2 linked regions of the Oryzias latipes genome follow. The protein of the gene in region 1 purifies or fractionates together with the protein of each later gene. This does not show direct contact. Links are inferred from orthologs where the notes say so. Each region holds a gene or a part of one and is shown on either strand. Other genes may lie near its edges.

Region 1 (3,919 bases):
GTATGTGAATAACGAACAGCATTTTCATCATTTTGCTTTCTAATGTATTCACATGATAAGCCAGTTGAGACAGAAATCACCGTTTGAACATGGCTCTTTTGCGGGGCTCTTGAACCATAAGGAGTACTCTCCAGCCTTGGAAAGCCCCCGTCATTCTGCCAGTGGCCACCTTTTCCCTCCACTGCCTGACGGGGTAGAAGGCAGCTGAGGAGGCCGTGGAAATGGCCACTTCGTAGGATCGCTCCGGCAGCCAGGAGCCATTCTTAACACTATCCACAACATAGTCCAGTGTCACAACCCACTTTCCTGGTGGGAGAGAAGTGGGTGTTTTAATAAAAGGTGCTAGTTTGATCAAAAGCTAAAAAGAATAAATAAAAAATAAAATCAAGCATTACAATGATTATAACTCACCTGCAGCACATGCAGCCAGAAATTTCTCACTGGGGGAAACCTGGGGTGTTATGAGATGAGTGATGCCATTCTTGTATACCTGGAAACAAATGGCTGCATTAGAATTGAAAGTGATCGAATGAGAGGAAAACATGCGTAAATAATAGTAATATTTATTTGAGTCGAATTTAATTCGAAGCATAAAATCCAAAAATGTTTCCTTAACCTTATTTCAAACAATTCATGTGGAAAAAATACAAAACAACATGTTTTAATGTCAAAATAATTCTCCCAAACAATATCTAAATGAGGAATAAATACACAAATGAAGATACTGGTCAAGACACACTGGCTGTTTTTCTCATTTTTCTTGTTGTACACATTTGATCTGCATTCTCTTTCCATTAAAGTATACATTTCTACAAATAGTCCTTTGTAACTCTTTGGTATTAAGGCCTTTTTTGCATTATGATATGTTGTAAGTTTTTTTGGTCTGTCTTCCTCCTTTTTCCCTTATCCCAGTTGCAAATCTATTATTTTTTTCCTTAAAACAAATGTTCCTGTCCCTTCAGACCTCAACCAGTCACATCTTAAGTCTAGCTCTGCTGGACGTTTCTTCTTAATCTTTCACTTAGAGAGGTTTCCTCTCAGTATAAGTATGGGAAGAATGCAAAACTCTGATGAGTCACATATGCAGGAAATTTTAAATTCACTTTAGAGAATTTGGGTTTATTAGGAAGACGTGGCCTAAACTGGATTAAGATAACTCTAAATAACTCAGCTCACTTTGATGTTTATTGTCTTTTGAGTCGTACCTTTATTTATAAAGGACCACTTACCACTGTGTAAATTGGTACTTTGTAAATACACTGTGTAAATAAACTACATTGAGTTGAGCTGGAAACACTACTTACAGAGCCACCAATGTATTTTCCTCCCAGCTGTTGAATCCCTTTCACCAAAACTCTCTTCTTGTCACGGTTTTTTATGCCAGAGATCTGGAAAATCTTGCACCTTTCCATCCTGAAAGTAAATAAATAAATGAATAAGCCGAATATAGCCTAACGTATTTAAGATGTTATGACAGATAAACTGGTTTCGACCATTTGTTGGAAAACACTGTAAACTGCTTCTTGTTTGTCCACATGAGTTACACAGATAGGTTGACACTACAAGAAAAACCAGAAGGGGTACTTTGAACCAAGCATGCCACTATTATCACAGGTGTCAGTTAACTGTCATTGAGACAACTTCAATATATTTTCAAAATTATTTCTTTCAACATGTCGGGCAGCAGAATAGTCAATTTTTAAATATTTGCTTAAAAAAATTAGCAAAGAATGTAGCTTGAAAACTAAAACTAGTTCAATCCATTTTCTCCATGCAGGAAGTGGTATCTGAAATTCAGAAAGGAAATCATATTGTGTTATATACAGTAATACATATATTATGTGACTTCATAAACATTTTTACAGATGACTTCTCTGAACATTTATTTCTATTTATGCATCAATAGCATGAATGACATTTGACATTCAGACAAATTGTTTCTGCTCCAAGACTGGTACTGTCTTGAATTGAATTCTGTTGTACAGTATGTTTAAATACAATAAGTGTTGTTTTCAAGGAAAGTTGGAACATGAGAAAAAGGTTTAAGTAAAATAACAGTACGGACAGATACACTTGCAGGTTTACACCTGAAACTAAAGACACATTGACAAGTCTATGCACTTATTGGTATGTATGCAGTCAAAAATAAGTAAATAAATCTAATTCTACTGGTAGTTTCTAATTTAAAATACAAATAAAGCCCACAAAAAATCTGCTGTGGACACATTCAATCACTCTCATAAAATAGTGACATTCATCAGTGTTCTTTTTCCTGTGATTTAACAGCTAAAGAGAAATCAATTCCAATAGATTTTGTGAATATGTGATATAGTAAAACAGAATCTTAACCTGCTAGTAGTGCTAAACATGTCGACTGTACCATTTTCAAATGCTGAGGGTGTTTCGTCAAACTGACGTTTTTGGAATAGTCGAACATGTTCTTTAAAAAAAAACTTAGCTCTTCGGAGTCACTAAATTTACAGGATTATTGTAATTATTTTCTGGGTTATTTAGTATGAATTTGTTAACGAATTTGAAAAGGGTGGTTAAAGAGTGCTTTACCTTCCTCATTCCCAACTGATGATGACTTCTCATGTCATGGCGCGCCAAAAAAACTCAGCCACACAGGCGACAAGCTGTTAAAGCTGGATGTGGACAACTATGTCGTAGCGAAAATATCCAGCAATATGGTAAACTTCCGTAACAGAGATGCAAATAAAGTACTTAAAGATAATATTGGCTTAAGAACATTTCTATTTGAATCTTTCAACCACTACACCGCTTAAGCAGAGTCACAGCTTCACGGAAAAGCCAACTACTTAAGATGGGGGAAATTCGTCCTTACGATATTTTTTCGCACAACAAAAAACAATATTTACAGGAAGAAATTAAGAAAAAAATCAAATTTGAACACAAATTTTATATTCAACGTATAAGTAAACTAAATAAAACAAGGACATTGTCGTGTTTTTTTTTACTTCTTTCCCGACTGGTTTACTTTTAGTTGGTATTTCCCATGGAGCGGAAGTTTTCATCGAGCTACTTCCAGGTTGTTGCCACGGACGCTTTTTGTTCCCGGAACTAACCAAAATAAATCACTGACCGGATAACGGGAGTGTTTGTTCTTTTCTACCACTGAGACTGGTGTGGTGGGTGATTAATTCACGGGGAGGGATGCGGTTTCAATCACAATAACAGATTTTAGTCGAACAGCAACATATTGCAGAAGTTCTAGAAGTTGCTGTAACATTTTGTGCAGCTATATTTACTGCTGGCAGTGGCTGCGTACAAATATCCACTTAACACGACTGAAGATTCTTATGGATTAACAAGGCATGGAATAACAACTAGCGGGTAAGAAAAAAGGTAAGATCTGAAATTAAAAGCAGGGATTAGCGTGAACCGTGGTTTTGTCATTGAGCAGCCTAAACATAACTCGTGTTGTTTTCATTGGGGCTCATTAGTGACGTGTGCGCGTCTTCTGGTTAGGCGCAAGAGGTGTCACGTGGTCAAGCAGCCCTAGGTTGGACTGATTTACCGGAAAAAATCTGAACAATTCAATCAGTCCTCAATAACCAGTAATGTTGATTTGATTAGTGTATACCGGTCTAATTGGCTAATCGGCTACTGGAAGAAAACAAACTATTTCTATTTGTAATGTTTTGAGAAAAGGCCATTTTTGTGTTCAGTAATTTAGTCTCTATCTGTATTAATTCCAAATGTCTTGCTGCTTACATTTCTTGCTTCCATTACTTGAAATAGAGCCGTTTGCCAATGAGGTTGTAGATTATGAAACTGTACATCTGAGTAAAACATGACTCACTGAATATCAGTTGCTACCTATTAAAAAAACAGAATAATCAAAAGAAGTTAACACATTTTGTGCTAAATCTTGCCTCAGTTTATTCATAATATATAG
Region 2 (3,890 bases), on another chromosome or scaffold:
TGTGTGGGAATAACATCAGCCTTTATTTAGTCGGGACACAACTGGAAACACAAAAAAAAAAGCGGGGCTAGAGTGGAGTGGCGCTTTTCACAGGGCGTCCGCAGAGCAGCTGGTCGGTCCCCTATGAGCTCCTAAGCTTTCTCTCAGCAAAACACCATCTATGCATGACGTAAACCAGAGCAGTAGTGACACACGATCGGAATGACCGTTTACATGATCAACGATCGAATAAACGATCGGCCTAACCCACCTATCTCGATCGAAGAGAAATTTTGATCCGAACGAGTCTGATTGGGGCACACTATTCCGAACGGCGCGTTTACATGACGCATTTTCCTTCCGATCAGGCGTTCTTTCCGATTACTTTTGCCCATGTAAACGCAGCTATAGACAAGTGACCTTTTTTTCCGTCTGCTCCTCATTCACACCGATTTGAATAAAGAAACACTCAGAAATGCAATTTTAAGCTTAGTTTTCTCTAAATGTCCCTCACCATGAGAAAAAATGGCACAAGAACACGTTAAAAACACCAAAAACAGGATTTTAATCGGAATGGGTCTTTAAGGTAACGGGGGTTGGGGGATCTGTTGATTATTTCCCCAGCATACTTTAAGAATGATACTTGGTTGAAAAAAAAGGTTAATTTTTATAAATGGTGTGTAAAACTTGTGTTTTTGATAAAATTAAACTTCATAAATGAAATTAACCCTTAGCACTTTAACATTGGGAGTTGGGTCATCTGGACCCACTAGACAGTGCACTAAACCTTTTTTTCTTTTTTCGATCCTCACTGGTGTCCATGGATTACATGAAATCTTTCCACCTTTATCCACCTTTGTCATGGTAGGGAGAACACGTCAATGTAAGGGTGGGGTCATCTAAGATAGCACAAGGGTTTAATAAAATACTGATCAATGCGACTCTTTTTTATGTCGAGACCTGAAACCGGACGGCCCTGAACGCACCGCGGAAGTTCCGCTGTGACGTCAATGTCGATCTTTAGAGCGGGACTGCAGAGTAGAAACAAACGCCTTTAGCTAATTTCAACATAAACAGACTCGACAAATGAACGTTAGTTCTGAAGTATGGCCCATCACATCGAAGCGGATCTACCAGCAAGTCTTGCATGTTTGAAAGTAAGATATCGCTTCTGTTGTGGTGCTTAAAATAAACCGGGTTTGTTAGATGCTGACTAGCTGCAAGAACAAGCTAGAGGCATTGACTTGCCGTTGGATAAACGAAGTTTATACAACACTGGTTCAAAAACCCACTCATTCACTGTCATTTTAGCAGCAGATTCAAGGAAAAATAGACTTTTCGGTGCTTGATAGTAGTTAGTAAGGTCAACTGTGGTTCTAATGCAGTAACGCCAACAACAATTCATATTACGCAAACACAGAGGGCTTATTTATTTGTGTACGTATATTGTTTTACAAAAGTTTGTACACTGTAATCCAAATTTTTAAACCCGCTTGATCCTGCCCGGGATGTTGGAGATTGGCGCTTGAGGTGAGGATGGAGCGAACTTGAAGAAGAGGGTTGTCATCCAGTTTTTGAGTCTGCTTGTGCTTCTCTCCAGCCAAAACCCAGCAGGAGCCTTAAAACATCAGCCCACCTTTTGTTAGTATTTGTATTTATTAGGGCTGTAATGATTTATTTGAACGATTCAATTCATATCATAATTTGTGGTTGCTGATCTGATCCATAGTTGTTATTGGTTCATTTTGAACGATTCACTGACCTAATAGATCCAGAACTAAACTTCAACCAGTCAGTGTGACTCAGAGACAAATACCTGGTACTGAGTTTTATTTAATTTTGAAACAGTTTTAGGACAGCATAGGTTGATTCCATTAGGAACTCGTCTCAGACAGATCCATCTGTTTGGATTGTAGAATTATAGATCAATAAGGTGGATTAATCGTTACAACCCTATAGTATTTCTGTTTTTGTAACCATTACGGTTTGAGTAAACTAACGACAGGCCAGGTGTTGTGTGGAATCATGGTGTTAAAAAAAGAAGAATTTCTGTTTTTTGACTGCAGCAAATACGTTTTTTAAAATAAAAGTACATCGGCCAAGTCAGATCATCTTCCTGCAACCTAGTTGCTTGAATTGAAAATGTAAATAAGGCAAGCCAAAGATATTTTCTGTTGATACGACTCATTTTCTCTTAATTTACGGCAGTTACCCTCATAACTGAGTGAATGCAGATGTTTAGAATCCAGTATAAAAATATAAGGTTGTTGAGCTTTTGCAGATAAACATCATTAGCACTTTCCTTCAGAACAGCAACTATTGTTGCATTGTTACTTAAGGATATAAAAAAATCTTACCAAAGAATAAAATGAATGGTTATAAAATATCCCTTAATTATTTTAACTATTATAATTTGTGTATTAGACATCAGTTTGAACTTTTTGGTTAATACAGTACAAGTAAGATACAACTAGGCAAGGAAAAATGCTATTATATGAAAAGGAGGGTTACACAGTCTGTTGAGATATAAATTATTCAGGAAAGACCTAAAAAAGCTCATGCAAAAAACAATTTGTTGGTATTTTAAAATTGTGGCATTTAGTATGAGTTTGTAAAGATTATTGTTGTGTATGCAATAATTTTAATACTCTTAAAAGCTCGGAAAGGCAGCCTGAATTTATGAATAAGCTAGGAAAAAATGGGATTGTTATTTGAAAATATACTGATATTTTTCCAGAAGGATGGTCATTTTTATCTTAGAGGTTCCCGCCCATAATTTATCCACATATAGTAGTATATCTCATTACATATCCTACATAAAAGCCTGTTTTTCTTTTTAATCTAGAATGAAATCCAGTTTTCATTGCCACTTAAAAATTGGACACAAAGTCACAGAGGCTTCAGGGATATTTCAGGCCTGCTGCTGTTAAATGTACCTCAGATCACAATCATTTTTTAAGAAAACCTTCCAGGAAAACTTGCTTTGGAATTTTGAATTGGTTTTCCTGAATAACGAGAGATATTGGCTCTTTAAAACATAAGGAAAATAACTATAACTGCACATGTTTTCACTGATTTTACAGTCTCGAGTTAGGGGTTGGTAGTTCAACCACAACTGCTGAATATGTTTTGAATCCGATTATTGAGGACTTTTGGGATGTCTCTGAAGGATTGACTGAATTCACTGACAGAGCAAATGAAGTGAAATTTCTTTACAGAACATCCACATTATATAGGAAGTATTAGCCAACCATTTTAACTTAAAAGACTGAGAACTTACCTCAAAGACTGTCTGCAAGCAAAGCAGTCCTGCAACACGGACTCAGCCAAACCTCATATTTACTGTTTTAGAGTGTACTCTTTCATGTTTTACTATGGCTTTGAGTTACCTGCCTGGGGACTGATGATTAAAAAAAACTCTAGTACTTCATGTTGATCAAACAACTCACTGACAAATATAGGATTTGTTCAAACCAAGTCTTTGAAAAGCCTCCTTCTGGTCATTTATACTAACTTCTAAATTGCAGCGAGTGTGGAGAGGAGCTACAAGGTTACTAGAAAGGTTTACAAATGGAGCATCTTTGAAAGTTCAGACTCTATGGTGCTGGTTAATACTTTGCCTTATTTTGTGATCAAACGTTGGATGTTCCCTTTCTCTAAGCTCTTAATGGATTGGACATTTCCATCACTAAGTAGTGGGACAGACTTCCTCCTAAGTATATCGTTTCAATCTGAGCATTGAAACATTTTAAAACATGATAAAATGATCTGCAGGCACAGAATTTGTGATACACAAGGAGCGTCTGGCTGTTAGCTGAAACTATCCGACTGCTGTGATGCCTTAAGGAAGGGAGTTTGAACATCAAGGACACTGCATCAGCATATTCACACCAGCTTTTCGATTTTGGGAC

Evidence for each region.
Region 2: the proteins of slf1 (region 1) and rad18 purify together in Homo sapiens (affinity purification with mass spectrometry; 4 studies listed by BioGRID and IntAct, with this or other methods). This does not show direct contact. The link is inferred for Oryzias latipes from reciprocal best matches to the Homo sapiens genes SLF1 and RAD18.

What each region holds. Positions count from the first base shown.
Region 1 is NC_019867.2:15,910,574-15,914,492, reverse strand, and holds the start of slf1 (SMC5-SMC6 complex localization factor protein 1), read right to left. Parts: upstream 2,964-3,919; 5' UTR 2,563-2,963; intron 1,414-2,562; 5' UTR 1,413-1,413; coding exon 1,305-1,412; intron 491-1,304; coding exon 412-490; intron 307-411; coding exon 81-306; intron 1-80. UniProt on the Homo sapiens protein: Plays a role in the DNA damage response (DDR) pathway by regulating postreplication repair of UV-damaged DNA and genomic stability maintenance.
Region 2 is NC_019863.2:2,756,455-2,760,344, forward strand, and holds the start of rad18 (E3 ubiquitin-protein ligase RAD18), read left to right. Parts: upstream 1-972; 5' UTR 973-1,085; coding exon 1,086-1,136; intron 1,137-3,890. UniProt on the Homo sapiens protein: E3 ubiquitin-protein ligase involved in postreplication repair of UV-damaged DNA. Postreplication repair functions in gap-filling of a daughter strand on replication of damaged DNA.